Schizosaccharomyces pombe: one gene and its partners. The gene in region 3 interacts genetically with the main gene of each other region. Each region holds a gene or a part of one and is shown on either strand. Other genes may lie near its edges.

Region 1 (6,959 bases), on a different chromosome or scaffold from region 3:
AACATTATTATGTATTATTGACTTGATCACCTAAAGAGTTCATCCTTTGTCATTTAGACGTTGAATTGAGTGTTGAAACGTAAAAGTAATAACTTTTTTTTTCTTATTTAACATTATAATTTTTTACAATATCGGTCGATACGCTTTCCGGACATCAAACCACCCCCTTTAATTCTGGCCTCCTATAGCCTCTTTAGCAAAGAATAGATTGAACGGTTTAGCAACATGTCAAAGTTGCAGAACAAGACGAATCCATTTGCAAAATATTAATTACCAACCTCATTACGATATTATGCTATAAATAATATGCTTAACTTACTCACCATTATATCGTTATAAGATATGTCCTGTTGGAAAAACTAGCTAGAGAAACCCACGGGCACGTGGGCCTTTTAGTAGCAGGTAAATCAATGTCAGTATTACTTTGTATATTGTAGAAATGAACCGATTTCATGCTAGCCGTTTTGCCATCGTAGTATAAGAAAGGATGCTAAATGAACATGGACTTTGTAGCTGAGCGCAATACATCTAAATTCATTAGGAAAATAATTAATGAAAGGTTTCATGAAATCATCTCTGGTTGTTTCAAATTTGGACAAAAACGGGATTTCGCTTTTCCCAATGGGTACGGAAAGCGAATTCGTTTACAAATGTTTTAATATGAAACTTGAGATGTCATATTTACATAATTTCGAAAACCAAAAGTTATAAATGTAGCACTGAATTGCTGTAATAAAAAACAATATAAACTATTACTTTTAAATACCACTTTATCTGTTAAGAAATATTAAAAAAATACAACTTCGCCTTTATACACTCCTCGTCCCAAGTTGAAATTGTCGGTCCGATATTTTCACTCATTCATTGCAATATCAGAAGACTTTTGAACCTTAAAAGTTAAGAAACTCATCATTTTAATTTCTATTACTTTTTTACGACATTTTTGGATTCTTCCCTTTCTCGAAGACATTATCTAAGTAATCAATAAATTCTCAATACGATTTAACTATGTTCCGCAACTACAATTGGTTTGACGCAAAAGAGCCCATTTCATATGAGTCCGAAATTTACGCTAAAGGTCTCAAGTTTCAAAGACCCCAAATCACCGTAGATGGCAGACACTGGGAGCAACTGGCTGTTGAGCGAATGACCAAGGATGCCGCCGGCTACGTTTACGGATGTGCAGGAAAAAGAGAGACATATGATAAAAATATGGAATCCTTTAAGAAATGGTCCATCATTCCTAACCGTCTCATCAAGTCTGGTTTCCCCGACTTGTCTACCACTGTCTTTGGCCAAAAATATCCTTTTCCTATTGCCTTGGCTCCTGTAGGAGTACAAAAAATTTTCAATCCAGAGGGTGAAAGTGGATCGTGTGCCGCTGCAACTAGAGAGCATATACCCTATATTATCAGTACTGCGTCTGCAACCAGCTTTGAAGATATAGAAAAGGCTAGTGGTCCTGGAGAGAGATGGTATCAACTTTATTGGCCAAGCAATGACCATCAAGACATTACCATTAGTTTGCTCAACCGCGCCAAGAAAACGGGCTGCAGAGTTTTGATAGTTACTCTTGACACATTTATTCTTGGATGGCGTCCCTCAGACATGGACAATGGTTACGATCCATTCTTAAATCCTGACAGCATCGGTGTTGAACACGGATTTTCCGACCCCGTTTTCCGTAAGCAGTTTAAGGAGAAGCATGGTGTGGAAGTCGAAGAAAATATGTTAGAGGCAGCTAAAGAGTTTGCTGGAATTGTCTTTCCTGGAATCAGCCATGATTGGGAAGACTTGAAGTTCCTTCGTAAACATTGGGATGGCCCAATTGTTCTCAAAGGTATCATGAATGTTCCTGATGCTAAGAAGGCAGTTGAATATGGCATGCAGGGCATCGTTGTATCAAATCATGGCGGTAGACAACAAGATGGAGGTGTTGCTTCCTTGACGATGCTACCAAAGATCGTAGATGCTGTTGGTGATAAATTAGATGTTCTATTTGACTCTGGTGTTCGTTCAGGTGCTGACATTGCCAAGGCCCTTGCATTAGGAGCTAAGATGGTTTTAATCGGTCGTCCCTATGTTTACGGGTTAGCCCTTGAAGGTTCATCCGGTGTTAGTCATGTCATTCGTTGTCTCTTGGGAGATTTGGAATTAACGCTACATCTATCTGGTATTGTATCTGTGAAACCAAAGGACTTAAACCGTGATGTCTTATATAAGGAGGAATAAATTTATGCATTAGTTAATGATCAGCAAATTTAGTTTAATTCCCGTTATACCATTTAATATTTATTTACGCTATGAGTAATATAAAACTACCCATTAATAAGAATATGAGTAACTTATATTAATAAGCATAAAAAGCAATCAATAAGTGTTATGAGAAACTGACTCAAGTAACCAGTTCCATCAATATCATTAATTTCGAGTTCGTGAATAAAAGGAATTCCAGGGGTGTAGAAAAAGTAAAGCATTATAAGCTTTTTAAATTAGAGTGCTAGTATACAAAAGAATAAAGAAACAAAAACTAAAGAAACTATTGTACATCGTATAATTTACAATCGAATACTTCTTCCATTCATGTCTTCGAACACCGTTTCCTTAAAACCCGCCTTCCTTTCTGATCCAAACATTTCCTCCCACCAGCGACCGTCATCTAAAATCGAAGTGATCAGTGGGTCTACGGGGACTTCCTCATCCAGAATAGTATCAGTTCGTATTTCAGAAACACCCATAGCAGGTGTCGAATTCCCACTTTGAGTATCATCGCCATTATTCAAAAGCTCGTTTGTTCCTCTTGAAAACAACTCTTTTGAAAATGAATTCAGATCAGGATTAGACTTCATCGACTGATCTTCCACTATACCATATTCTAGAATACATAAAGGAAATCCTGGAATTTTGAAATTGTAAAGTGACTGTTCCTCTAAATACTGAAAGCGGTAGAAATTATACAATCTCTGAAGAGTTACCAACATTGCTTGATTAATTTTCCAATATTTGGATCGATCCTGTAAAATCTGATGATCAACGTGTACAAGTCGAGAGGAAGAAATGTAATTTTGGTCGATGTTGACAACACAAAACTTAAGAAGCATATGGATAGTAGCAGCAGTCAATATACTAAACCCCACAAATGGGCTCATTATGTAGTTTAAGGGGTCCTTTGAAAGTTTTGTAATGAAATCAGCAGAAGTAATGACTTGATCTAAAATCATATCCATCCATACAGTAGGAGGCTGTTGTCCGAAGCGTTGTGAAACAGAGGAAAAAAGTTTGGATTTCTGCCTCGACTTCTCAGGAAATAAATCTAAGACGTTTCTCAGAAGATAGGTCAAGGTAGTGTGATATAGCAAATGCATAAAAGTGTAACAGGCACCAGCCGATTCTCCGGGAGAACTATACGCCGAATAGTTAGTGTATGACCAAACTGCTCTTGGAGGTAAATTTTCATGCCAGGCTTTTAAAAGCTCAAAGCTACGATGGAATTGAGACTGATTTAGCCAAGGGGGTGTGATATCTTTCGTGTATCCACCACATAGAGCCCATCTTGAGATCTCACTCCACAAATTTGACAAGCGGATTAGGGAACCCGTCATAAACTCCAGTTGTAAACTTCTTTGGTATGGGGCCATTGAAGTGGTGTCTGACTGAGTGTTTTCCGGTAAAGATCCATCAAATAACTCAGTAAGAATTGGCTGATTAAATAAAAAATTAGGTTCCGGACAAGGTAATTGTATACTAGTCTTTTGAAGAGATAAAGAAAGTGAGCGCAATTTTGAAGGTGCCATGTAACCTGTACTTAGCAAACGTTCGACAAAAAAACAAGCCCAATAAACCCTTCTTTTCTGCTCGGCTTCAGTCCATGAAACAGTGTTGGATCCCATCGTAAGAGGATTATCATTTATTTCGTTACCAAGATCTAAAGAATCGACCATACGGAGAGCCATACCCAGTAAAAGCCAGGCTTTAGCGCCTCTACAAGAGCCCAACTCAATTAAGCAAAGCAAGAGCAGGCAAGTGATATTAGTCAGTGAAATATCCTGGAAACGACAAGGAAGCAGTGAAAAGGCTTGGTTTGCGTAGTAATCAGATGCTGCAGTTGAAGATTTAAATCTATTGACTTCCTCTTGACTGAAACGAGCAGCGTGAGCACATATACAAAGTACGAGGACTGGCGGAGCAGTATCACTTGCAATTTGAGACGTAATTTGGGCCTTATTAAATATCCCAAAAAGTTCGGTATATGAAGTTTTAAGAAATATGTCCCAAAGCTGTAATAACTTTCTACTGGTTGGTAGCCTTAACTGCTTCTGATAGTCACCAAAGCTATTAATAGAGTAAGTAAAATCCATGTTAGGAGATGATGGAGAGAGGATCGTAGGAGAAAAAGGATGAGAGCCCAGATACGGTTGCACTATACCAGTAAGAGGACTCAAGGTTCTGGCAGCGGAAGATGGCTTTTTGCCTCGCATATTCGGTCGATCAGGCCAAATGCATTCAACTTTGTTGTTACTGCAAGCTTGACATGATGGCTTTTCACCAGAACACTTTATTTTTTTCTGCCTACACCGAATGCATGCCTGAGATACTTGACTGATTACTCGCCTTTTTCGAGGCACAGCATCTTTTTCGACAGCAGCAATCATGTCGAAAATAAAATACTAAAATGAAGTAATAAAATATTCTGTGTCCTTTTAAACCGTTTAAAAACCTAGATAATCGAAGAAATCCTGCGTTGAGTAGACAGGTCTTAAAAAAGAAAAGAAAAGAAAAGCAGACGTGCCAATTGTCTGATCGTACGTCTGTTAGAAAAAGCTCACGAGCTTAAATCAGAAAAAATAAATAAGCAATAAACGTAAAGGCTACGAACAGTCCTTTCGAAAAGTTTGCAAGTAGAAAATTAAACATAAACAATAATAGACTTAAGTGAAAGAAAAAAGGGGCATCTAGGACTACACAAGTACGCTTTTTCAAAACACCAACATCACAGAAATATTTTGATTAAAAACACACTCGAAAAGCTATAAAATTCAACTGAAGTCGTGGTATCACCTGAAGGGTGAAGATCATAAGAAGGTTACAAAGACCACATGGGAGTAAAAAGCCCATCTAGGGTAACATAAATAAGCCCTCAGTTGTGTTCAAAACTACAGCAGCAAAAATAAATATACATGGCCAAACATCGTTTTTACAAAAAGTTAATAAATGAACCTATTAAATGTACTAGTGTACGATGGATGTAAGGAAATTAGGGCTGTATAAAGAGATAGGTTGCTATAAAAAATATTTCGTCAGTCTACCATTCACAACTGTACCTTCAACTTGAATATAATTCAATCTCATGAGTAAAATTATAAAATAATAAAAAAAAAACGAAGATTTAGTATTAAAAATCTCCATAAATGTGTTTGGAAAACGCTGGACACTGAAATTTTAACGATGAATACTGTAATTTAGTTTTCTATTGTGCTATTTGGTGCTCGTCATTAAGTCAATAACGAGACTATGCACCAATTTCTTGAATCTTCTACCAGCGTCTTCAAACGTGTCTATCTATTTATTCTAATAAATTTCTATAATAGACACTTTAACTTATTTTTACTTATTTATTAATGAGTATTCGAGAAGACAGGAATCAGGATGCAACTATATATCTTGGCAATCTTGATGAAAAAGTAACGGATTCTATTTTGTTTGAGTTATGCCTGCAGGCAGGTCCAGTTGGTATGTAATTATTCGAGTGTTGGTTGTATTTGTGGCTTTCGATACTAATTCATACAGTAAATATTCATATTCCAAGAGATAGAGTAAGGAATAGTCATAATGGCTTTGGTTTCTGCGAATTCTTACACGAACAAGATGTTGAGTATGCATGTCAAATTCTGAATCAAGTAAAGTTGTTTGGAAAGCCTATAAGGGTCAATAGAGCTAGCCAGGACAGAGGAGTCAATACCTTAATTGGTGCAAATTTATTTGTTGGCAACTTGGATCCTCTTGTTGATGAACGCGTATTGTACGATACATTTTCTGCTTTGGGACAACTTGTCAAGGCACCTCAGGTAGCAAGAGACGAGAATGGAAGGTCGAAAGGTTATGGTTTTGTTAGCTACGATTCTTTTGAAACCGCTGATGCAGCCATTGAGGCCATGAATAATCAGTTTTTAATGAATAAACCAATTACCGTGTCATACGCCTTTAAACGCGAAGGAAAGGGTGAACGTCACGGAGATATTGCGGAAAGAAAGCTAGCAGCAGCCGCTAAAAAGAATAAAGTTGCCGTTACTCCTCAGAGTACTCTGCCTCCAGGATTTTCACCCGCCACTCCTGCTCCAACATCTGCTGCTAATACTCCAGCAACAATTGCTGCTACATCGATACCTCCTGTACCGAATGTTCCTCTAGTGGGAGCAACTACTGCCGTCCCTCCCTTGTCAATACCTAATGTTCTTCCTTTCACTGCTGCACAGCATTTCCCTGGAATGCCTGCTATGCCAATGATGAATGTTCCAATGGGCCCTGGAGGTGCACCACTTGTCCCCCCTCCACCACCAGGAATGGTGATGGCTTCTCCTTCTCCTGCTGCTGCTACCATACCTGGTGCTCCTGTAATGCCAAACATACCATTTTATCAAACAATCAATGCACAAAATGGATACAGTCAACAACAAAGGAGGTAAAATATTTTAAAAAGAAGCAAAATAACTACCATTGTTGCTCAAACGCCGGCATAGTAAAATAGCTGAGATTGATCCGTATGGTTGATTTTTTTTTTAACGTGTACAGTAAAAAAAGTGGAAGCTGAGATTTATCTTATTTAAAAGAAATTAAAATTGATGTTTGTTTATATTTTACAGTTTGACTTTTTCTAGTAATGAGTTTTACTTCGTCCCTAAATATCGGCAATATAGTCTATAAACGACGCATTAATTCAATCCAACATATTTTCAGATACA
Region 2 (6,182 bases), 1.7 Mb from region 3:
AAAAATTGTAACTTCAAAACCTTCAGCTCCATCCAAGCTGGTTATCGTAGCGAATTTTGATCTCAAGGCATTTAATTACAGGATCATGTATCAAAAGCTTTATGATTCTTCTGAAGTTCTGGATGATCGCATTGAGCTTTTTAGTGCATTAACTTGCAGAAAATACAACATAAGTGATGAAGATTTGGCAAATCCTAGCGAACTTACTCAAGAACCCGTTGTAGTTGTAGGACGAATTGTTGTCGAAAGTACCAATTTAGGTGGAAGACTCAACCAAAATAGCATTTTACTTGAAAGTTCAAGACGTCTAGGCGCTGGTGTTCGAGTTCGTTTGAAGGTGGATGATCTACCAAGTTACTCAATATTTCCTGGTCAAATTGTTTCAGTTAAAGGATCCAATCCTAGCGGTAACATGTTTATCGCCAAGGAAATCCTTCCTATACCTCCTTTGCCGTTCCCAAGTTCATCTAAACAGGAGCACGCTACCTTTGTTGCTAATACAAATAATCAGCCAATTTCTATATATATTGCATCTGGACCTTGGTCTCTCCGTGATGATCTCTCTTTTTCCCCTTTAAAATCAATGATTTCATATGTAAATAAAAATCCTGTTGACTTGGTTATTCTATGTGGTCCATTCTTGGATATTAATCATATACTAATACGTACCGGAAACATTACAGGAACGTCTGCGACTTCTTTGGAAGAGTTGTTTAAAGAGCGTGTCACACCCATATTAAGCCAGCTAACTTGTCCTTGTATTTTAATTCCTCACATCAATGATGCTGCTTCAGATCATCCTGCATGGCCACAGGATGCATTTAATCGGGTGGCCTTAGGTCTTCCATCTGTATGTTAAGTTGTATAATAATTTTTATTGACCAATCCATAGAACTTCAAATGCTTCCCGAATCCTTGCATGTTTTCCATTAATGATGTCGTCTTTGGTGTGTCAACCAACGATATACTCCTTCACACATCTAGAGAAGAGTTATTTCGTCTACCTTCTCATGGTAACTTATTTGCACGTTTGGTTTCTCACGTACTTCACCAAAGGCATTTTTATCCCTTATTCCCTGGAGGTTCTCTTGAAAAGTGCAACCCTTCAAACTTAGATATCGCACATCTTAAACTTGGTGAATTCCTAAATACTATGCCGGACATACTAATTTTACCAAGTGATTTACGTTATTTCGTAAAGGTATGTTAATTTTCTACTTTGTTTTAACTAATGTTATAGAACGTTGAAAACGTTGTATCATTGAATCCTGGTAAAGCGACCAAAGGGATTAATTTGGGCACTTTTGCAAAATTAACTATCGCGCCATTAGAGCTCGGGGATAATGGTTCTTCTAATCATTATTCACATCGTGTATGGCTTCGAACCAAGGCAGAAATTTTAAAACTATGATAATTATACTCTCTTTTTCTGCGGAATTTATTGAAAATATAAAAAATTCAGCGTTAAATATCATTGGTTATCATTATTTATGTAGATGTCTACCATAGACCGTTAGAATTAATTAACTTTTCAGCTTTCATTTTCTATCTATCGCTATTTTGGTTTTCTTCAAATTTTGTTTGCAAAATTACTCATATGTTTATGTTGTTAATTTAACCATTTTCCTCAAATGTCTAAGACAATCTCTGATATATCTCAAATCGCTACTCGCGAACTTTTAGTCGTTGTTTTATAGTTGAATGAGTATTCCTTTTATACTGTAGTATTTGAATGTTCAACATTTTTTCGATTTGGACTCTAGTCTTGGTGTTTCACATCTCAACCTACTTAGTCACTACAGTTGACCTCCAACATACATAGGGGAAGTAGTGCAAATGCCTGTTATTCCTCCAGAAAAGCTTGTGTCCTTACAAAAAAATCAGGAAAATATTCGTAATTTTACATTACTTGCTCATGTAGATCATGGAAAGGTATGAATTTTGCAATTTTAAACTTTTTTGAATAGTTGCTAATGATTAATTAAAGACAACCCTTGCAGACAGTTTACTAGCTTCGAATGGAATCATATCTAGCAAACTTGCTGGTACTGTTCGTTTTCTTGATTTTCGCGAAGATGAAATTACGAGAGGTATTACTATGAAGTCTAGCGCCATTTCATTGTTTTTTAAAGTTATAAGCCAAAATGATGAAAAAAGAGTTGAAAAAGATTACCTGATTAATCTTATCGATTCTCCTGGTCATGTTGATTTCAGTTCTGAAGTATCTTCGGCCTCAAGGCTTTGCGATGGTGCATTTGTTTTAGTAGACGCAGTTGAGGGTGTTTGTAGTCAAACAATTACTGTCCTTAGACAAGCATGGATAGACCGTATAAAGGTGATTTTAGTCATTAACAAAATGGATCGTTTGATTACTGAACTGAAACTGTCTCCTATTGAAGCTCATTATCATTTGCTTCGACTTGTTGAACAAGTAAATGCTGTCATTGGCACCTTTTATACTGGTGAGCTTATGCAATTAGCTGATAACGACGAAGTCATCAGTGATGAAGGTATATATTTCGCACCTGAACAGGGAAACGTTGTGTTTGCTAGTGCATACGATGGCTGGGCATTTTGTTTGGACCAATTTTCAGAATTTTACGAAAAAAAGCTTGGATTAAAACAAAAAGCACTTACAAAATGTCTCTGGGGTGATTATTATCTAGACCCTAAAACTAAAAGAGTTCTTCAGCCCAAACATCTTCAAGGCCGACGGTTAAAACCAATGTTTGTACAATTTGTTCTCGAAAACCTCTGGGCTGTTTATGAATCAGCTGTGAGCAATAGGAACCTTGAAAACATTGAGAAAATCATTAAGGCATTAAACATTAAAGTTCTTCCCCGTGACATCAAATCCAAAGACCCTAGAAATTTGCTACTTGCGATTTTTCAACAGTGGTTGCCACTATCAACTGCAATTTTGTTAACAGCGATTAGGGAAATTCCTTCTCCTATTAACGCCCAAGCGAATCGAGCTAGGAAAGTTTTGAGTTCAACTCCTCATTACGAAATGATAGATCCAGATATTACACTGGCTATGGAAAGTTGTGACGCTAGTAAGGAACAGCCTGTTTTGGTATACATAAGTAAAATGGTAGCTTTTTCTGAAAGAGATCTTCCTAATCATCGTCGCAAACAACTTAGTGCTGAGGAGATGAAATTGATACGTTCAAAATTATCTGAATCAATTGAGAGCGGCATAAATACCATTTCTATTGAGGAAAACGTTTCTTCTACCAACTCTGACAATTTAGAAGGTAGCACAACTGACATGGACGATGATAAGGACATTTTAATTGGCTTTGCTAGGATATACAGTGGCACAATTTCAGTTGGACAGGAAGTATATGTTTATGGTCCAAAATATGATCCAGTCAATCCTGAAAAACATATTACCAAGGTAACGGTTGAGTCATTATATTTAATGATGGGACAGGAGCTAGTTTATTTAGAGACAGTTCCCGCTGGTAACGTTTTCGCAATCGGTGGCCTTGCCGGAACGGTTTTGAGAACAGCAACACTATGCTCATCTCCAAATGGTCCTAATTTAGTGGGCGTAACTCAGCAAATGGAGCCCATTGTGCGGGTCGCTTTAGAGCCTGTTCGTCCATTTGAGATGAACAAGTTAGTGACTGGCCTTGACATGCTTAATCAAGCCGATCCATGTGTTCAAATAGCCGTTGAAGAAAATGGAGAGCATGTAATTATGTGTGCCGGAGAGATTCATTTGGAAAGATGTTTAAAAGACCTTAGGGAACGGTTTGCAAAAATTGAAATACAAGCATCTCAGCCACTTGTGCCATATCGGGAAACTACCATAGCTACACCCGACTTATTAGCAAAAAATAAAGAACTGAGTATTGGCTTTGTCACTGCAACGTTACCAGTTGGCGGAGTTACGATTGGAATTACAGTAACACCTCTTTCTGGGTCTGTCGTAGATTTTCTGCTGAAGCACTCTAAAACAATTGAAAATGTTAGCAGCAATTTTTCAAAGAAAAATAGAAACGTTGTTGTCTCGGAATCTTTAACAAAAAGTATGGAGGAAGTGTTGACTCCTGAGAAGTTTTATGAAAGGCTTTCCAAGCTTTTAGAGGAAGAGAACTCTGACTTAGGCGAGCTGAAAAATCATTTGGATAGGTAGGTTATACTAGTGTTCTATTGGTTGATTACTAACAATACTAGTATCATTGCGTTTGGCCCCAAACGAGTGGGTCCTAATATACTTTTTGACAAAACCAAGAAGATGAGAGATTTTCGACGACAAAGCGATGAAACAAAATTAATACCCTCAGACCTTTCTGAATATGTAGTTACTGCATTTCAACTAATAACGCACCAGGGACCATTGTGTGCTGAACCCGTTCAAGGCATTTGTGTGTCAATCGATCAGTTTGACATATCTGATGACTCGGAAGATAGTAAGTTACTTACCATCAATAATCCCCAAATCCCCGGTCAAGTTATTTCGGTAGTGAAAGAGTCTATTAGACATGGATTTTTAGGTTGGTCACCGAGACTTATGCTAGCCATGTATTCTTGCGATGTTCAGGCCACATCTGAAGTCTTGGGTAGGGTATATGGTGTTGTTTCGAAGCGACGAGGACGAGTAATTGATGAAGAAATGAAGGAAGGGACTCCATTTTTTATTGTAAAAGCCTTGATTCCAGTTGTTGAATCCTTTGGATTCGCTGTAGAAATTTTGAAAAGGACATCTGGTGCTGCCTATCCTCAATTAATCTTCCATGGTTTTGAGATGCTAGACGAGAATCCCTTTTGGGTTCCAACTACTGAGGAGGAATTGGAAGATTTAGGCGAGTTAGCCGATCGCGAAAATATTGCTAAGCGCTATATGCTGAACGTTCGAAAAAGGAAAGGCTTATTGGTAGAGCAAAAGATTGTTGAAAAGGCAGAGAAGCAGAGGACACTGAAGCATTAAAGATAGTACTTGATTCCAATTTCTTTAGGAAAACGAAAAGATTGTAATTTGATGACAATGACCTGGTTAGATGGAGGTAATGTTTTTTTTTTTTTTTTTGTTACATTGTTGAGGTAGCTGTGATTTTGAGTTAAGTGTTTCATGAACTATGGGACTAAGATTAGAAGTCTATAAGATGAATAGTGTAAAACGCACATGCAAGATTCTTTAGGCTTCTTTTTGTTATGTTTTAAATTGTTAATACAAATTCAAATTTCCAAAAAATACCGATGTTGTGGGATATGCATAATACAAATAATGATATACTCTACTGCGTAATCGCTAGAAGGTGATAGATTACAGACGCGACGCGCCAAAACACAAACACATCTTTGTACTAATTCAAATTCTAGTATTTTGAAAACTATTCGCCTTAATGTTTTTTGACGGATGGAAAATGCAAAAGATTTTATAGGAGAAACAATAAAGGAGAATGGATTACTTACCATTGAAGATGATGGTAGCAGTAGTTCAGATGAAGAAGCTACTTTAAAACGACGATTGGCAGGCCCTTCTGTTCTCAAGTCAGGACAGGAAAATGTTAATCAAAAAAAGATTAACGAGATAATTTACGAAGCTTCCAAAGGAAGTAAGTTTTTTGAAGCCGAACAAAAACGAGACCGAGAACTTCGTTTAAGAATAGAAAAGGTTCAAGTTGAGGTAGAAAAATACCAATCAAAATTAAGGTTTGATAAAGCGTTTCAAAGAGAGTGGACCATTAGACAAGAAAGTGTGGATACTACTGTTGAGGATTTTAGGGCTAAACGAGATTTGACCCAAATAATTGTTCATGTTGATTGTGATGCGTTTTATGCATCAATAGAGGAACTTAAGAATCCAAAACTTAAGTCTTTACCAATGGCAGTCGGGAAGAGTGTTTTGTGTAAGTATTCGAATCTGACTGAAACTAATGCTGAATAAGGTACTGCTAATTATGTGGCCAGAAAGTTTGGAGTTCGATCAGCGATGCCAGAATTTATTGCTAGAAAGATTTGTCCTGATCTAGTTGTAATTCCGTTAAATCTTTCTGAATATGCAATAAAATCTAAAGAAATTCAGAATGTGCTTGCTCAGTATGATTCGAATTTGTGTCCTGCAAGCATTGATGAATTTTATATGAACTTGACTTCACATTTACGTCTCCAAGAGCTTGCATTTACTGTAGAAAACATAACGATGGTGGTTGAGAAAATCAGGAAACAAG
Region 3 (5,148 bases):
CTTTGGTGTTGTAATACAAATAAGCGCTAGTTAAAGCTCAGAATCTGTATCAATCGCAAGAACGAAAATGACCGCCAAATGCAAATTATTCGAGTTTAACGTTACATAAACGCGCAAATCCACGAACAGTATGATCTTTTCAATACAAAGAATGCAGAGATTTAAGGTCCTGTTGGGTTAATAGAAAACTGTTAGCAAAGTATGTATTTAGGCCAGTAAACTGCGATATTTTTTTTACTGAAATACGTTAGCATTCACAACTGGGCTTACAGTTTCTCCCCTAATATATCAACGATTGAAATCTTTTTAAGATAATCTAACCTTTTATTTAGTCGAATAAAAATTTCAATTTTCTCTTTAAGCTAAATTTGGTTGAAACTGCTTTTTTAGGTCGCTTGGATAATTGCTTCCTTTTCTCTTTCGCTTTAAACGACTTTGAATCTAGATGAAAAATGGTTTACAACTTTACATTTGTGATGATTACATCGTAAATATTTACATTGTGCCTATACCCAATTTTTTTTCTTCGTTTCTTTAGCCACAAGCGTTAGTTGAAAGTATTGTTTACACAGGAAGGGTTGAATCAGAAACATTGTATGTATGATAGCGTTATATTAGTAGACAACACTTGTAGGCAAACCTATCCCGAAAAATTTTATTTTTAAATATATACATATGCTAATTTCCAACAATAAGCAGTCTACTTTCTTTTCCGACGATGTTTTTTTCTTTCACCAACATCACCTATTATGTTTACAGGTAAAGTAGGTTCATCCGTTGTATGGTTTTTTGATGATCTCTTTTTGATGCTTAAAGGGTTAGGCCCTTTAGGACCCTTGCGTTTTTTATTGGCTTTTGGAGCAGAATCCTCTGTTCCCGCTAAATCCGTACTTTCCTTGGTATCTTGATCATCGATAGCCAGTTCATTCGCTGAACGCTTTTTTCCGGATAATAACAACTTTTCCTCTTTTGACATGCCCATCTGAACGGATTCTTTGTTGTGCTTTTCTAATAACGTAGCTCGTGAAGCTGGTTCTAGTATCACAACTGACCTTTTCATATATATAAGTGGAACACCTGGGACCGAACGAAGAGCTTGCCTAAGCTCGGGGTCTTGGGTAGCAACAACATAGCGGTGCTTGTTCCGACCATTAATGTTGACTACACTCTGAATACATTCTGAAGGAGAGAGTGCTTCATCAATATGACCACACCTCCTTCGCTCAAAAGACTTTGCGATACGAATTTCTTGCTTCAATTCATCGGATTTACTGTACAATTGCCGAATACAACATTGAGTAATCACTATAGTCAGTTAGTAAATCCGTTAGTTATAATAATTTACAAGGAGAACATAAGGAAAGAAAATAATAAACCAGACCCGGATGAAAAGATACTATGTTGAATAATTAAACTTTCCGTTCTGTTTCATATTCCGGGGGTTCGCCCTTTTTTCCAGTAAAAGAAAACACTTATAAACAAAACTTACTAGGTTTTATAGCTCCTTGAACAGTCCTAGCTAATGCAGCTTGTATATCAATCTTTTGTTGAGATAAATCTTTTAGGAAATCTGCATCCACTAAAAATCATGTTAGTTTAATAACATCACCAAAAAGAAAATGCTTATTGTTTGCAAATTAGAACTTGGGTAAGGATGCATCTTTACAAGCATCATTTTCTGTACCACATACCGAGTACTTGATATGGTTCACGAAATCCAAATAAAAGCTGATACGTATGCATCAGCTTTCTGTAATTCTTTGCCCTTTTTTGCCTCATATTTACGCCCTTTTCTGTGCGTCACACAGCCTAAGACTTAATATGCTTTAGATCACTTGTTTTTTTAAGAATTTTTTTTTTCGCTCAAAAACGAAAAGTCTTTTGTTACTATTAGAAATATTAAAAAAATAAATTCAATCGTATTAAAAGAAGTATCCAGGAACCCTAATATTGCTGAAATCCTCTTATTAGGAAATTTCCAACTAGTTTGTACTTTCCAAGTTCACCCACGTACTAAAATTTTGGGCGCTTTAACTATTTAACTTAAGTGAGATACTTGGCTTCGAACTGAGTGTATACTTCTTTTATTTCTCTATTTAGATAAATTTGTAAGGAAACGGTATTAAGCAGAAAGAGGATTCAGTCTATTATTTACCCTTATCATACTTTTTCTTCATTTCTACTGCGTAAATAATTTTAAAGCTTTGCTTTTTATTATTTGAAAGATTTGTCATTATTACTTTCTTTCTTCTAAAGCTTCTTTTTCTTCTTTTTATAAAATTGTAAATATATTCGGATCCAAAAATTAGAGGTTTATTTCTGAAGTGTTTGTTTTGTTGCTTCTATTTTCTTAAGAATCAATCAATAAAAACATGAGTGAACAGCGAGTTTTTAAGCACCCTTGTCAATTTTTAACATGGAATTCTAAACACAATTACATCGTGTGCTGTTCAGGTCCATATCTATTGGGGTTCTCATGCTCTACAGGGGAAAAAATTTTTGAACATTGTTATAGAGACAATATAAATGAAAAACATAGAGAGGCAGCTGCCTATGGAGAAGCGATTCGTCAAGTCGCATTTTCTAAAGACTATTCTCGTATGGCAACAGTTAGTGAAGACAAATGTTTGCGCCTTTGGGATAGCACTCAGCCTGATAAAATTGAACTTCTTTATCAAAAAAACATACCAAAGCGATGTGCTGACTTGTGCTTTGCGGGCTCAAACGAAATTGTTTTTGGTGATAAGTTTGGTGATGTCTATTGTGTAGACGAAAATTGGTTTACTACTTCTGAAGTTACCGAAGAAAAAAAGTCAAATGTGGTTGAAGGAAAACAAGAACCTGTTAATAATGACACTTTAAAGGATTCGAAATTGCAAAAACTCGAACCCATTATGGGGCATGTTTCGATCTTAACTCAATTAATAGTTGCTCAAAATCCACAAAATTCTAAAGAAGAAATAATCATTACTTCAGATAAAGACGAGCATATTCGTATTTCCCGATTTCCCAATGCATTTGTCATTGAAGGGTTTTGCTTAGGTCATGAAGAGTAAGTTTTCATTTGGTTTTAGTTGATCAATTTTTTTTTTTTTTTTTTAAATAACACTAACGCCTTTTCCTAGTTTTGTATCTAGGATGTCCTTATATGACAATCGTACTCTAATATCTGGCGGTGGAGATAATCACGTTTTCGTATGGGATTTAGAGAATTTCAAATGTTTGGATGCATTCGATCTACGATCTGCCTTTTCCACTTATCTCTCATTAAATCAACCAATGGTGGTTTCAGTTATTCTTCCTATTTTTAAGCGCCAGCTTGTTGCTTTTGCGTGTGAAGGAATGGCGGGTCTTATCTTCGCGAAGGTGACACCTGAAAAGAGACTGTTGTTTCATTCTGCTTTGAAGCTGTCAGGGCCTGTTCTTGACGCTGTTTTGCTTGACACGGATACTGATCAAATTCTCATTTCTTTGGACTCTAGTTTTACATTTGGTGCATGTTTTGAATGCGTGAAATTTGATGAAGGGAATGCGGCTGTTCTTACGAAACCCGATGTAATAAAGCGTATAGAATCTGATGGTTTAATATCAACCGAAAAGCCGTTCTGCCCGCTCGCTCAAATTCACACATTACGCAAGAACCACTCTAAATTCATTCGCAGTGTTGAAACCGGTACATCTTCGCCATCCGTTGAATCTAAAGATAATTAAAGCTCATTTTAGGGAGACCGGCTCAAAAAAAATAATTGGGAAAAGTGGGAGCATCAGTAAATATGGAAAATAGATATGAATAAAAATGATTGTGACATTAAAGTATAATAGGGAGAGCATTTAATTTCTTTGGAGAAACCCAGAATTTTGAAGTATAAATACAGTCAGCGATTAATAATTATGCGAATAAACGCAACTTGTATCTACTGCATAAGTGCAACTGCTATTCAGTTGTGCAACGTCAGCAATTTGAAGAAGTAAAATTAATCGTTTATTCAATTCCTTCCATTTACATGCTACGACAATACTTTACATAATACTTGCAACGGCAAATTGTTTTTAGAAGGCCTAAAGAACACGAGATACATCCATTAGTGCTATCTAACAAAAAAAGCTTAGTCGAAGAGACCGAAACCCATGTCCTCATCGGATTCCTCTTCCTCTTCAGCAGCAGCCTCGGCAGCGGGTGCCTCAGCTTCACCACCAGCAGCAGCAGCAGGAGCAGCGGCGACTACGAAAGCAGAGGGATCAGCAAGGAAAGCCTTAGTCTAAAATAAAGTTAGTGAACTGAGTACAAAAATAATTTAATGATTCAAAGAGTTTAATTGTATACAAGCGTTCAGCAAAAAATTAGAGTGTTTAAACTTTGCGCTCATGAAAATTTAGCGAGTTAAAATAATCCTCATCAAAACGCATTGCAAAACAATTGTTTCATATATAATGCTCCTTCAACGAAATCTGCCGATGGAGAAGCATCGAAAAGATTAAGGAGGTTCAAAAATATATATTTTTTCATTGAACCTCAAAGAAAAGGCATTATTTATAACAAAAGGTTTAAAACTCCTTGAAGTATTTGATATTATAGGACATACCTGTTCAGTACCCTCGAAGGTGTACTCAGTGGCCAAAGAGACAGCGACCAAGTTCTTGTAAGCGTTGACAACAGAGTGCATAACGGATAAGATAGTAGGGTAGTTAGCGCCCAAGGAAATGGCAGTGATAATACTGGCAGCAGACAAGAGGTGACCGATAAGATCCTCCTCAGAGACGTCAAGAATCTCAGGACTAAAGACGTTTCCTTGGTCATAGATCGTGAGAACATCCATACCATAGGTGAAGGGAGAGATGTTTAACATGTTAAGCAAAGTAGCCTCGGAAGGACCAACTTTAGCATCCTTGGAGACCAAATGGACATCGGAAGTAATTTCAATGGTACCACGAGTAATCTTGGTGGGGATACCAAGAGCTTGGAAGAAAGAGGTCTTACCGGGTTCCATACCAGTGTTACCGGCAGGGACAAAGACATCCAAGGGAGCAATGGCGTTAGGACGAGCAGGAGCAGCAATAACATTAGCAATAATGGTCTCACGGACTTCCTTCAAATCAGCGTTGGTGAAGACGAAACCAACGTTACCACGAACAACAGGCAAAAGACGC
Region 4 (5,517 bases), on a different chromosome or scaffold from region 3:
TACCGGGACGTTTTTTAGATTTAATGTTTTTAAGACCTTTTCTCCCAAATTCGGTAGCAGCAAGACTGTCGAGATCATTGCTTTTGCTGCGATGCTTTGGACCACCAAATCCATACTTTTCATTTTTCTTTTGTCGCTTCGGATTAGGCTGTGGCCGTGATTTCGTACTACGGCTACCTTTTTTAAATGTATCGGCAGAGGCTGATGAAAGAGCAATATCAAAGTCATCTTCAGTGGTAAGATCTCCTCCAGTATGCTTTCGTTTGAGAAGGTTAATTTTTTCGAGGGTTTCCTTTTTTTCCCGTTGACGCTCTTCTTGTTTAGCAAGCTGAACTTGTTTACCAAACTTCTTGAGTTCTCGTTGTTTCTTAGCTTGCTGGGATAGTTTTTTAGCGGTTGCTTCTTTAATCAACTCTTGACGCACTTTCTCCATGTGGTCATCGGACTTTAACATTTCCGCAAAATAGTCATGAGGTCGGGAAATTAGAACATTCGCCTCACGAAGTTTGGCAAAAGCCGCCTTTACAGAGCTCACACCTTGTTTATAAAAGGCCAGTTCACGGGCAAGATCATCCTCAACATTTTCAATTATTATAGGCTCCTTAGTAGTAACAGCTTGGTTTTCAACAAACGAAATATCATCAGGATATTTAATTCGTTCATAGATGTTCTCTAGTGCAACAGTGTTATTTATAGCTAATTTTCTTTTTCTAATCAAATCAGCGTCTTCTTCCAACTCAATTCCTTCAAGATCAGAAAGTTCAACTTCATCTGATCCCTCAGATTCGTTCTCTTGATCAGCTGTATCAGCTGTTTCAATAATAGGAGATTTAATGGTATTGATCATTTCTTTCTCATTTAATGCCTCAACAGAAGTAGAAGATTCATTGCTTTCCTTGTTTTTCTTTTCCTTCATAGCAGCTTTAGCTGCCTTTTTCTGAGCTCTTCTTTGCTTTGATTCTATTCCTGCCATCGTTGTAGTCTAGTGTGTATTCTACACAAAGCTGAATTTGAATATTTTTCAAAGGTTTTGAAAAATTTGCTTTGTGCTACTTTGATTAATACAATCTACGATTAGGCTAACGGTGACAAAGATTTTTACTATTGCAGTTCACATCAAATAATAAAGAGCACATTTAGAATCGCTAAGCTGATTAACGTTGCGTTATATTACTCTTAGTCTTCATTTAGGTTGTACGGAAGGCATTTAATAAATCCTTAACGTAAATTTTAACCCTTTATTTGTCCGTATAAAATTCGTTGTATCAATTTTAAGCTATAACTTGGTCGCATTTTATCGATTGTAGAGTTATTGCTGATAAATTTATGTTTTGCTACATTACACCAACTCTAATTGAAATGACGGTAATTTAGTAAATTATCAGTTGTGTAAGTAAATTACTATCAGCTTTTTTATGTAGCAAGATGTACAAATACTTTTCAATGGATGGCTTTTCAGTATAACTTTTCCCTTGACTTCCTGATACAATTGTCAAAATAAACAACAGTTCTTTGATTGTTTACGTGGTTACAAAAAACCCCGGTATTGTTCATAAGATGTAAGCTACGCAGTTTGGTATCTGATTTAAGGATACGTAGAACTGCGGTGAGTTTTCCTTGTGATCTATTATATTACAATACACAGGTTGTATAAGTAGCAACTGAGTATAGGTATTGTATTAACTGGGTTATAATGTTAACTATCACTAATATAGCTCATAACTGAACTGAGGAACGAGGTTCAGCAGTAGCTCTATTTATAGTATTCAGATAATATTGATCTTAATAGATTATCATTAAGATCAATCTCCATATCGTATTATACATGGTACGATATATAATTAGAACATGTGACATATAGTGATACTCAACGTAGTGTAGTATTGCTGACATAAGAATACCAAATGCTTGATGCGCTAAATTATGGTATAATAATTTATCGTAAAATTTTCATTTTCATTGTGTTTCGAAAGTATTGCTAAATTTTCTGCTTTGCATGCAAAAGAATCCCACAACAATACACGATTCGACAGTAACATCAGTTGTACATATTATTGTTCATAAAAGATTTTTCTCCTTTGAATAATTCCGCTTAGGTGGATTCTAAATCTAGATTTGTTACTTTTGTGACTGTACTTGTGAGTGACAAAGAAAAACACCAACGGGTTTGTAGCTTTGCAATATCATGTCAAAGCTACCAAGTCCAACAATGCCTCTGCCAGAATCGGTAGGCGACTTGGTTGTTTTGCACTTTGAAACAAATCTTGACGATCACGGCATTAGCATTGGCCGGGCGCCATGTGAAATTCATGAAATATGCTGGGTTATATTAGATGGAAAAACTTTGGAAAAACAACACTGTGAATCGTGTAGTATTCGTGAAGATAGTTCTCGTCATGGAATTTGTGGTTCTGCTAGTTCCTTAACTGAAGCTATCTTCACATTGGATAATTCAATCCAAGAACGATTAAACTTCCAAGGAAAACCTTTTACATTTGTTGTTATGAATGGAAGAGAGCTTCGTGTATTATTGCCAAAAGAAGCACGGGATCAGGGAATTACGCTACCTTCCTACATGCGCCATCCTCGCTTGTTTGATTTATCAAGCGAATACGCCAAGTGGCAGATTCGCATGGGTGCAGTACCACCATACACAATAACGCTTTCTCATATTTTTGGTAAATTAGATGTCGACTCTTTACCACCTATTACAGAGTCAAAAGCAATTGAATTATCACCTTCAGATGCTCCTTACATAACCAAAGGTCTTACTCAATGCTGGCGCCTTGCAAATGCTACCACCTTATTGCTTCGTAAAGCAGAGAAAGATTCTCGAGGTCATTCTCTTCCTTCGGTGCTTACACAACCCATTAACTGTCAAGCAGACGCACGAAGCTTTTATGCAGAACGGTCAAAAATTGTACACGTTGCAGGTTTGACCAACGATGTAACACAGCTCGAGTTGGAAAGTTGGTTTACTAATCATGGGGTTCATCCCGTAGCTTTATGGACTTTAAAGACTCCCGAACCTTACAAATCTACGGGTACAGGTTTTGTGCTATTTGCTAGTCATGAAGATGCTGCCGATGCTCTTGCCTTTAATGGATATTGCTTAGGAGATCGGATGCTGGAAATTATTCCCAGTAGTACAAAGGTTTTAGATAAAGCTTCAGACATTCTAATTCCTTTTCCTTCTAGTAAGAATCGCCCACGCCCTGGGGATTGGAATTGCCCAATGTGCGGTTTCAGCAATTTTCAACGTCGAACGTCTTGTTTCCGATGCTCATTTCCTGGTCCTACTCATGTTTCAGCTGCTACTGGTAGCAATACTTTTTCACCTGATTTCCCTTATGGAAATTCATACGGCAACGGCTCCTCTCACTTTATTGCCAACTATGGTGGATCTGTCCATCATTCTAACGAAAATACCATGCAAAGTGATCTTCAGCATCAGAATGGCAATAATGCTGTAAATCATCATCATTCTTCACGCTCATTCGGTGGTAATGTCCCTTTTCGTGCTGGTGATTGGAAATGTGGCTCTGAGGGTTGTGGATATCACAATTTCGCAAAAAATGTTTGCTGCTTACGCTGTGGGGCTAGCCGTGCTACAGCTGCAGTCGTAGCAGATCATGCATCTGGGCCGGTGAATGGTTCGTATAGTCATAATTCATATTCTCACATCCCCCCTGTTATGAGTACAAGTCCTCCTAATCATTCGGTGTATCCTTACTCACAACTTTCTATAAATTCAGTAACGGCTAATCATGGTCAAAATTTTGGGGGACAAAATGGTGGTAATGTATCTAGGTTCGATGATCATGGACGCTTTAAAGAAGTATCACGTCCTTCCGTTACTACTGATCAAGGCGATTGGTTATGTGAGTGTGGATTTACTAATTTTCGTCGCCGCAGTAATTGTCTCCGTTGCAATGCTCCGCATTACTCTAATATGCAGATTCCTGCATCCTTGCCTTCGGATTTCAATGCTTACGTGTAAAGTTGGACAATTATATTTAATGGATAGGTCCCGTAGTACAAAGGATATTTGGTAAACACTATAGCTAAAAATGCAAGTGATTAGTGCGATAAAAATAATCACTTATGTCTTGAAGGAGCAAATTTGATGAAACAATTGTTATTATTTAAAGGCAGCATTTTGAAAAGCAACTCTATTGGAACAAAAATTTAAAAGTTGTATTGGGTTTTCTTATGAAGGTTTTGCATAAACATTGAATTACAGGTGTGGTCAAAATTAGTTCATAATTTTCTTTGGTGGGTTTTTTTCTTCTATTTAGTGCTATTTAATTTTTGACCTTGAAGAAATTTTCGGGGAAAAAACAGCAGTCAATCGTATAGAGCTCTCCCATATTTGGGATTTGGGGATTCATTTGTTTTGGAGTGTCACACTCATTGAACGTTTGAAAAAATGGTTGTTTACCTCTTACAGTTGTCAGTGCTGTTCAAATTTATAGGGTTCTTCGGTAAATAATGTATTGTTAATATTCCTTTTTTTTATTATATAATTTATAAAAATTTTGTAACGATAATGATTAAATCAATCGATACATGAGGTTACTTGTAATACATGGCATTATTAGAGAGAATTAAATTCGCATATGTAGCATTTAAAAACAGTTAGTTGATGCTTTTCTATTTTTTCTTTTTATTCTTAAAGGGTTATTCTCAATATATACAAATCCACACCAGTGTGGCTATATACTGTACTCGAATGTTGACGACCTTTCTGCTTCTTTAATCCATACCCTAATTAAATATAATCCATGTAGATAGTTCAACAAAAAACATGAGATAAGATTCAACACACACTCATGATTAGTTAAATACTTGTTGAACATTCCGGAAATTTTTGACGATTGTACGTATCTTTTCCTTCAACGCATTTGGGTGTTTATCTCTTTTAGAATGCCATTAGCATAACCAGGGGATGATTGCAAAAATCAATTTCATTGATCATCAATATCGTTGGAAAAAACAATTCTATCGAAAGTTTAAAGCATACCAAGCAAATTCTTAAAGCAGCTTATATATTTTCTGACATTATGAATCAGGTTACTCAATTTAGTGGAAATTCTGCAAACTTGATGCTTTACTGGATTCTAAAAAGTTATTACTCTAGGTTTGATAGAATTATGTGGATTGATACTTTAGGTACTTTCAATCCGGCTGCACTCCCTCTTCCATGTCTTGAAAAAACTATGTTGGTTAGATCATTCGATGCTCAGGGATTGAAGGATGCAGTTGATGAGTTGGAAAGCAATCTCAAAAGCTCCGAAGATCAAGCATATGCATTGTGTATAGATTCCTTTTCTAATCCCATTGGTTTGTTAATGGCTCAGGGCAATATATCTTTTGCACATGCATTCATGATGACTTTAGGAAGAAAATGCCGAATCCTTACCAGAAAATTCAGATTAGCAGTATACTTATCTACTTCTCTTGTGTACATAAAGCAACTCCACCTTTCCAAACCAGCGCTGGGAAACAGCTGGCCAT

The links.
Region 1: mutations in trm82 (region 3) and mca1 together harm fitness more than expected from each alone (negative genetic interaction), as found in Schizosaccharomyces pombe (one large-scale study listed by BioGRID).
Region 2: mutations in trm82 (region 3) and ria1 together harm fitness more than expected from each alone (negative genetic interaction), as found in Schizosaccharomyces pombe (one large-scale study listed by BioGRID).
Region 4: mutations in trm82 (region 3) and dri1 together harm fitness more than expected from each alone (negative genetic interaction), as found in Schizosaccharomyces pombe (one large-scale study listed by BioGRID).

What each region holds. Positions count from the first base shown.
Region 1 is NC_003424.3:2,983,778-2,990,736, forward strand, and holds mca1 (transcription factor), read right to left. Parts: upstream 5,077-6,959; 5' UTR 4,653-5,076; coding exon 2,559-4,652; 3' UTR 2,233-2,558; coding exon of another isoform or gene 1,009-2,232; 3' UTR 956-1,008; downstream 1-955. Other genes in the region: SPOM_SPAPB1A11.03 (L-lactate dehydrogenase (cytochrome)), read left to right, coding at 1,009-2,232; U2 snRNP-associated RNA-binding protein Sap49, read left to right, coding at 5,619-5,730, 5,788-6,683.
Region 2 is NC_003421.2:288,076-294,257, forward strand, and holds ria1 (GTPase Ria1), read left to right. Parts: upstream 1-1,804; 5' UTR 1,805-1,836; coding exon 1,837-1,932; exon of another isoform or gene 1,933-1,987; coding exon 1,988-4,140; exon of another isoform or gene 4,141-4,185; coding exon 4,186-4,939; 3' UTR 4,940-5,155; downstream 5,156-6,182. Other genes in the region: spb70 (DNA polymerase alpha B-subunit), read left to right, coding at 1-850, 893-1,201, 1,241-1,411; kpa1 (DinB-like DNA repair polymerase kappa), read left to right, coding at 5,369-5,861, 5,901-6,182. UniProt on the Schizosaccharomyces pombe protein: GTPase involved in the biogenesis of the 60S ribosomal subunit and translational activation of ribosomes.
Region 3 is NC_003421.2:1,976,523-1,981,670, forward strand, and holds trm82 (tRNA (guanine-N7-)-methyltransferase subunit Trm82), read left to right. Parts: upstream 1-1,998; 5' UTR 1,999-2,372; coding exon 2,373-3,052; intron 3,053-3,125; coding exon 3,126-3,711; 3' UTR 3,712-3,843; downstream 3,844-5,148. Other genes in the region: rRNA processing protein Utp23, read right to left, coding at 701-1,305, 1,490-1,579, 1,692-1,779; rpp0 (60S ribosomal protein uL10), read right to left, coding at 4,107-4,259, 4,584-5,148.
Region 4 is NC_003424.3:2,008,388-2,013,904, reverse strand, and holds dri1 (RNA-binding protein involved in heterochromatin assembly Dri1), read left to right. Parts: upstream 1-2,199; 5' UTR 2,200-2,209; coding exon 2,210-4,000; 3' UTR 4,001-4,560; downstream 4,561-5,517. Other genes in the region: rRNA processing protein Ebp2, read right to left, coding at 1-973; rdl1 (RAD51D-like protein 1), read left to right, coding at 5,064-5,517. UniProt on the Schizosaccharomyces pombe protein: Mediates heterochromatin assembly by promoting RNAi-mediated heterochromatin silencing and histone deacetylation. Binds pericetromeric transcripts and recruits the RNA-induced transcriptional silencing (RITS) complex to heterochromatin.